Linked DNA regions of Ovis aries. The protein of the gene in region 2 purifies or fractionates together with the protein of the main gene of each other region. This does not show direct contact. Links are inferred from orthologs where the notes say so. Each region holds a gene or a part of one and is shown on either strand. Other genes may lie near its edges. The genes, in order: MTMR1 and SBF2.

The links.
Region 1: the proteins of SBF2 (region 2) and MTMR1 purify together in Homo sapiens (affinity purification with mass spectrometry; 3 studies listed by BioGRID and IntAct, with this or other methods). This does not show direct contact. The link is inferred for Ovis aries from reciprocal best matches to the Homo sapiens genes SBF2 and MTMR1.

The regions. Positions count from the first base shown.
Region 1 is NC_056080.1:84,850,471-84,854,281, forward strand, and holds part of MTMR1 (myotubularin-related protein 1), read right to left. Parts: intron 515-3,811; coding exon 409-514; intron 1-408. UniProt on the Homo sapiens protein: Lipid phosphatase that specifically dephosphorylates the D-3 position of phosphatidylinositol 3-phosphate, generating phosphatidylinositol. Could also dephosphorylate phosphatidylinositol 3,5-bisphosphate to produce phosphatidylinositol 5-phosphate.
Region 2 is NC_056068.1:42,097,499-42,101,892, reverse strand, and holds the start of SBF2 (myotubularin-related protein 13), read right to left. Parts: upstream 2,813-4,394; 5' UTR 2,675-2,812; coding exon 2,620-2,674; intron 2,024-2,619; exon of another isoform or gene 1,949-2,023; intron 1-1,948. UniProt on the Homo sapiens protein: Guanine nucleotide exchange factor (GEF) which activates RAB21 and possibly RAB28. Promotes the exchange of GDP to GTP, converting inactive GDP-bound Rab proteins into their active GTP-bound form.

The DNA.
Region 1 (3,811 bases), on a different chromosome or scaffold from region 2:
GTAGTATATAAATACAGAAACAAACTGTGAAGTTAGAGAAATCCTATCAGATGTTTTCTGAAATTCAGAATACTAATAAAAATATAGGCATTTATTATAATCAAATCTAAAAATGTAATACATAATAAAATATATAATAAGATAATAAAGTGGAACTGGATTTTCAAAAGAATGATCATAATCAAGTCAACTTTTCCTCTTGGTTATGAAACTATGATCACATATACTTGATCCTGGTAAAAATGTCTCTTCTAAAGTTCAGATCTAACAACAGAGGACATTTCACCCTTGTTCCCAAGCAAATGGCCAGTGAGCATCAGGGGGCCAAAGTCTTATTTGAATTAAATTTGCAAAGCTTCTTGCCTACTCAGTATATTGAAAATGAATTAAGGACTCAATTCTGCTTACCTTGTAATCTCTGGATACATTTTCTGATGTCACTGAACCTGAAATCTGACTAGAAATTGTAGCAGCTATAAGCTGTTTACACCATTCAACATGTGATCCTGTAGGACTAAAAGAAATAGTGCAATTAAAATATTTTAAGACATAGGCTCTGAGAAAAATGAGCACGGACTAGGGATATATGTACACTTCTTTTTTCGAAAACGAACTTCAATTAGGCTATTTGGTTACCTTTACATTTACTATAAGAACTGAAATACCGACTGACAACTAGGAAGTAAGAGTAGGTTCCAAGGTGATTTGAAATAAACCAACTAATTTATTTTAAGGTTAAGATTCTAGACCTCAGACAGTTAAGCATGTTATTTTCTAGCCTTTAATGAAATATTACTCAGTTATAACTATACAGAGTGAATATTCTCAGTGTAAGTAGAAAATTAATTCTAAAATGAAATATTTATCTTACAGCATATGCTCTTCACAAGTGCAATCAATTTCATGTTGGTAGCTTTAAATCTATAAAATGAGATTAATTTCAAATGAATCAAATTGACTGTTAATGGAACAAAGCTGATTGCAGGATTTTAGAAAGAACAGATTAGAGAAGTTATGTCCTATGTGTAGTAATAATGCAACCTTACATTTCTGTAAGTGCTTTGACAACTTACAAAAGGCTCTACCAGTCCATTATTATATCAGAGTCTGACAACCACAAGTGATAAGAAGGCAGAACAGGGACGAGCCGACAGGTTTGAGATGAGAAAATTGAGGTGCAGAAGTGACAAGGCCCATCAGAAAGTGGTAGGCCTGCCTCCAGCTCCACTGGGGCTGTCCTTCCAGGATGCAATACCACCAGTAATGACCAACTCATGGAGCCAGAGGGCAAAAACCCAGGCCAGTGCCACAGATGCCCGCCACTGCCTTATACAAGAACACAACAATGCAGAGAAGACGGCATCTCCCACTTGCAGGCTGCTCTCAAGTGTCCAACACATTTCTGCACATGGCCTCACCCGAGCCTCACAGTGACCCACCCTACAGAGGAGAAAACTAAGGCTCTAGTGTTTGACCAAGGTCCCGTGGTTGGTAAGTGGTCAGGCTCTTCTCACCTGACTTAAAGGACCATGTCAGCAATCTAGGCACTGAGGGAATTAAAAATGGCCTCCAGAGGCCAGGCTCCTCTCTCAACTCACGAAAGCACAGAAGAAATCAAGTTAAAGGGCATAAGATACTTATGAGAGTTTATCTCACAGGTAGCTTTCACTGCGAAGAATGTTTCAGACCTTTGAAAATCTCATCACTAATGAAATCCACACTTGTGTATTGGAAGGACAGAAAAATCTGGAATCCCTAGGCAGTGTGTAAAATCACCTAAATAGTAAAATAAAGACACTTGGCATGCTCTACCAGTGATCTAAATTATATTCTCTGACCAAGACAGCCCAGAAAAAGATAATAAAAAAATATAGGCATTTATTATAATCAAATCTAAAAATGTAATGCATAATGGTTGTCTGCGGGGCTGGAAATATAAGTCAGAATATTCACTGAATGGGCAGACATTCCTATCATACTCTAAGAGCCTATTTCCCACATTTAATAACTTAAGAGAAAGGAGGAGGGGGAAAGGAGGGAGATTGGTTTCCTTTTAAAGGCTAAGTCACCTTTATTGCCTAGTTCTATCATACTTCTCTTGGCATACTACACTTTTTTCCGTCAGCACCCACTCCTGATAGCAAATCTAACAGTAGGAACCTGCCTGTTCACCCACCACGGGGGTGGGAGGGCTGCTGTTACCCTCTGCCAAGCATCCTCTCTCCTTCCTTCTGATAAGGATGCCTCTGAGAACTGTAGGAAATTGCCCCTCCCCATTTCATCAGCAGGAGAAGGAAGGGGACACTCCCTTCCCGCCCCCACTTGGAGGGGACTAACCCAGGTCGCCAGGCCAATCCCAAGCTTTCCCATTGGATCAGAGGTGTTCCCAGCCTCAGTGCTACTGAAGGCCACTCCCACCCCACCACCTTGAGGAACCCACAGAGATAAAGAGTAAGACAAGGAAAAAAACAAAAACAAAAACAGAGAATGGGGAGCCCCAACCACAGTGCTTGCAATTCTGGCTGTAACATGCCCGTGGCCATCTTTCCCCCTGTCCGCAGCAGTGATGGAGCCAAGAAATTTCCTTCCCAGCCGGAACTAGAATGATTTGTGGTTTTTATCCCTGCAACCAAAAGCATCCTGGCCAACAGAGTTATTAACAGTGTGGTATGGTGGACTGGTAGACAGGAGGCCTGGATCCGGGTCCTGTTTCTGTCACCAGCTTGAGCAAACCACATCCTTTCGCAGGCCCACAGCTTTGTCAGCATTTAGAGAAGTACAGTATTCAGAAGAGAGAGGAGGGCCCACAGTCCACGGCTGAGCCACACCTGCAGAGCCAGGGTCTACTCTGGGCACAAGGACAGGACTGAGAAGGCCATGTTTCCTCTCCTGTCTCTGCTCTTTGCACAGCGTAATCTCCCTGCACGCTCCTGGTGACAATAGCCAGCTGCAGCCTGGGGGTCCCCAGCTTTGCTTCTCCAGCCTGGATGCTCTTGATCCAGAGGCCCAGGATCCCATGGGACAGCTCCACTAGTCAGTCCCAGAACCCCTGCCAGCTCCACGTGTCTAAACTAGTCTCAGTCACCCAGCCTGCAACCTGTTCCTCCACCCTCATGTTTCCTAAGCCAGGGAAAAGCAGAACCTCACCCAGGGACCTCAGACTCCAGGGCTGACATTTACCTTGGGGCCCATACTCCTTTTCACTCTCACATCTGAATGCTCAAGTCTTGTCACTCTTACCTGCTAAGTATCATGAGAAGGCACCTTGCCCACTCCTATTCCAACTCCCTTTTCCAGAGAGAGACACCCATCATTTGTCCGGGTTCTCCTGCCTCATGAATTTAAGCTCCACCTCTATGCCAGTGACTCCCAAATTCAGGTCTCCAAACCAGACACCACCTCTGAACTCCAGGCCTAAACAAACCAACTGCCTCTTTGATATTTGCTCTGGGACATCCAACTGACATCTCATTGCTGTTCTATCCAGGGTGAGTGCCTGCTAACTTCCTAACCCTGTTCCACTTAGAGGCTTCTCCATCTCGGCCACACCATCTTCCACAAGCTAAAGACACTGGAACTGTCCTCAATTCTCCCCTTCTCCTAGACAATTGCCACCCTGCAGCAAACCCTGCTGGCTCTACCCTGCAGATGTCCTTCAGATGATATGTTAAGCTTGACCACTTCTCCTTTCCTCCAGCCCGCGGCTCCACTCGAAGCCACCATCCTCTCTCATTCTGACGACTGCAACAGCCTCCCACCTGCTAGACTCTCTGATTCAACTCCTTCCCCTTCCGGTCTGTCATCCGCACAG
Region 2 (4,394 bases):
AAGAAGTCATGAAGCATACGGCCAAAAATGTACTGAAAGTAAATGAGAACTTAATGAAATTCATCACCATCAAGTATGCAAGCAATAAACTCCTGAATATCAGTATGATTCCTCAGCTGAGCTCCAAAGCTAGCTATCCAAGAGCTTGCCTCACCTGTGATGAGATGGCCCTATGGCAAATAAATGCAATATATGATTCTGAACCAGATTCTTTTGCCAGTAAAGAGACGGCATAATCAACAAAACTTGAACCAGTACTGAAACAGGAGGGGCGGGGGCAGGGCATAAACTTTAACAGAATGATACAGCCTGAGGACACGACAATTAGATTAGAACCAAATAGGTCCAAGATGGCGAACAAGCTGACTTCCACTACACCTTGAGCTTCAGTATAACGCTCACTGTAACACATCAGCAAGCTAAGTGACATACCTTCCAGCGCCATGACAGGTTTGAAGCCAGCCACCAAAGACCAAAAAGTGAGCAATGGCCCGATTCCTGGAAATTTCCACCCCTTCCCCAAAACAATAATCCTCCTACTCATTAGCCTATGAAATTATCCAGCCCATAAAAACTAACCAAGCCATAATTCAAGGCTGTTCTCTTCGGAAATGGTCCACGCTCTGCTTGTGGAGTATGTTGTTCACTCACTAAGTCGGGTTTGATTCTTTTTACCCCAATGGACTGCAGCAATGCCTCCGCTATCTCCCAGAGTTTGCCCAAGTTCATGTCCAATTGAGTCTGTGATGCTATCTAACCAACTCATCCTCTGCCACCACATTCTCCTTTCACCTTCAATCTTTCCCAGCATCAGGGTCTTATCCAATGAACTGCCTCTTCTATCAGGTGACCAAAGTATTGGAGCTTCAGCATCAGTCCTTACAATAAATATTCAGGGTTGGTTGTGGAGTGTTTCTCTCCAAATAAACCCACTTATCTATCAATTTGTCTCTCACTGAATTCTTTCTGTGATGACACATCAAGAACCTGAGCTTCATTAGTCCTGAAACCAGGTGTGTGTGATCACAGTTAACAGATGGTGGGTTTTCACTGGGTTCCAGTTTCGCAGGTGGGCTCAAGTCCCAATCTGAGATACACTGTTTCAATCTGAGAGCTACATGAAGTACTTTGTCAGTGTAAATTTCCTGATTTTTGATGATTGCACTCTGATCATGCAGGGGAATATCCTTGTTTGTAGAAAATACACAACCTCGGGTGATAGGGAAGGCATCATGTCAGCACTTCCTAATGGTTCAGGGAGGAAAAGGTTCTTTGTACCATACTTGCAAGTTTTCTGCAAGTTTTTGATTGTTTCCATTTTTTCTAAGTGAGAAAAAACTCAAAGTCACTAAAAATGAAACAATGTTAAATACAAACTCTGCTTCTCCATATTGTCAACCTTGGCAAGAAAGAGAGAGCAGACTATGCAAAATTACTAGGAAATAAATAAAACTTTGTGTAGCCCGAAAATATTTTAAATATAGCCCAACCCTTCTCTTGCTAATCTCAATCAGGTCAAGAATAATTAAAGACTATAAAAAGTCCCCACTAAAGGAAGTTATTAGGAGAGGAATAGTGAAAGGGGCAGTCCACCAAGAGTGGGAAGAACAATGGTATTCTGAAGCTACAAACGGCTGTAACCATCAGCAAAACACAACCTCAGCATCTCCTCTGAAAAAGGAAGGGCTGTCTAGCTGAGACGTTAAATTTCTTGTAAATTACCCTGAAGTTACCCTGAAATAGATGTGCTTCCCCAATTCGTTACCTTATGCTTAGCTACACAGTAATACAAAAGGAATACAAAAATAAACGTGTATAAACGGTGAATTATCTTAAACTGTGGAAATCTCTCCATTAAAATACATCCGCCAGATTGTTACCTAAGAGGATAATTCTGCGACGAATGAAAAGACTAATTAAAACACTCATTAAAGTGAAACAGGATCACCTGCAGCGATGTGCTGACGGTCCTTACTTAAAAGATCGTATTCAGACTCCTTTTGAAATGACCGTCAGATTTGTCCTGAAAGAACAAGGAGCATTTCCTAGAAATGTTCATAAGTTCAAGGCTCACTTGCCCTCTCTCGGTACCATGAGTCCACGGGCGCGGTGACTAGACGGGCCCCCACCAGCTCAGGGGTGAGGTAGCACTGGACTCTCAGCACTTCCTTTCGGAGAGGACAGCCCCCTGCGTCATGCGTTACTCACTCAGGATGCTAGGCAGAAGTTTATCCCCGAGGAACTTAGCACAGTTGGCTCCCGCCCTCCCAGCCCTGAAGCCCTGACCCAAGCCCGTCGGCACCGGGGCGATGCCCCTGGTACCCGGCCCTCGTCAGAGCGAGAGCCACGGCACCCAGTCGCCTCAGCCGGGCCGCCCGGGGCCCGGAGGACGAGGCCGCCTCCTCCTCGTCCTCCGCCGCCCCTCGTGCCGGCCCCTCACGCCCACCGCGAGGCTCAGCCGGGCCATGAAGGCCCGACGCCGAGTGCCAGCTCCACCGGGGCCGGGACCGGCCCTCCCCGCCTCCCGGCCGCGATGCCCAGCCCAGAGAAGCCCACTGGACGGCAGCCGGGGGGCGGGGGCAGGGAGGCCCGGGGGCGGCGCCCGCCCCACACCCTTACCTGGCTTCTCGTGGTCGTAGCCGACTACGATGAAGTAGTCGGCCAGCCTGGCCATGGCCTCCGCCGCCGCGCCCGAGAAGCAGGTGCCCGTCGCCGCCCTCGCCGCCGCCGCCCACCGGGCCCGGGAGGGCTCAGCATTTTCCCTGCAGCAGCAGTAGCGGCAGCGGCGGCCCTTCAGCCATGTTTGACAACCGAGGCGCGCTCTGCGCCTGCGCCGCTCTTAGCGCCCGCTGCTTCCCCGCCCCCACCCGCGCTGCCTCATTGACCCAAGCCCGGGCGGAGAGCCCACCCCCACCCTCCCCGGCCGCTCGGACAGCGGATCTTGGGAGTAGGCAGCCTAGTGTATTCCTACTGTCACAGCAGCCTCTCGGGGTGCTTCACTTTGAGGCCCGGCTGCCCCTCCGCGGCCCACCTCCCGCCCCCCTGTTTTTCCTAAAGCAGGGTGTCTTTCCTTCCGTCCTTTCCACTCTTTCTTTCTGGGTCTGGGAAGAAGAGACAGGGATAGATGAGGGGGTCTCCTGGAAAGTTTGCTGCTTCCCCTCCCCACCCCAACCTTCAACGGCCCCTCCACCCGGTCACCCGCCTTCCCAAGACAAGATTCTCCCGCCCTCGACTGGAAGCCTGGAATTTGCACCGCCAGGGCTTTTGCTGCACGTTTCCTGTTTATGTTGTGCAGATGGGAATTTTAGGAACATGCCACCGAGCAGGCGGAGGAGGGAGAGGCTTTTGCGCAATCCTCGGAGGCGCCTCGTGCTTTAGTGCTGGGTGGGCTGGGGGCTGTTGGCCTGGGCTTCCCCCAGAGCGCCTGGGGAGGCTGAATTCCTCCAAAGAATGCGGCATCCCCGGGATCCTCCTGAACTGGCCCGGAACAACCGAGTCCGAGGGAGAAGGCTTGTCTCTCCCCAAAGAGTTCTTCCCGCCTAGGTTTTCGCCCCCTGCAGCGGTCCCAGTGCTCTTGCTGCAGAAGCAGGTGGTGAATTCAACGTCCCTGTTCAAACAATGCAATGAAAATGAATTCGTGTGTATCATCATCCAATCTAGGAATTATATAGGTCACTTTCTTGTTACTGCACCTCTTATTGTTTGGAATTCGGCAAGTGAGAAACCCAGGTGAGCATGCTTTGCCCTCTCTTAGTATCTCATGAAGTTTTGGTAGCAGGATATGTTACAAGGGAAGTTTGGGAAATCTTCATAGTTTGCAAATGTGATCATCATCCTAGTTGCTTATCACTACTCATTATTAATTGAGGGTTTAACCTTTACCATTTACTCTTAGCAGAGGGTCTTTTAAGTATGTTTGATGAGTGAATATACAAATTCCCCCAGCTACCAGCAGAAAGCTGCAGTGGGTCGAACACTGAATTGAAAGTTCAGAGATTTGGTGTCTCGGCTACTGAAAGTTTACTCTCATTGATCATTTCCTCTTTCTGTGTGTGTGGCACTTTTTTCACCTACAGATGGAGAGGGTTGGGCTGCACTAGAACTGAAACTCCTTGAATACTTGAACTCAGGGAGTTCATTTGCAAATTGCTTATGGTCAAACTGAATCAACCTAGTTGCAGATGTGGAGGGAAGATAGCAGATAGGTCTTGAAAATAATTAAACTAAAATGCTTTAGTCACACCTCAAGTAAGAATCTTCTCTGTAACTTCCCTGAGAGCTCATCTAGCTTGATCACTTTCAGTAAAGCTTAATTTAACTTCCTTGGGAGGCTGCCTATTCCACTGTTTAACAACACTATTGTTGGAAAGTTCTTCCGTGTTATGTCAGAATTG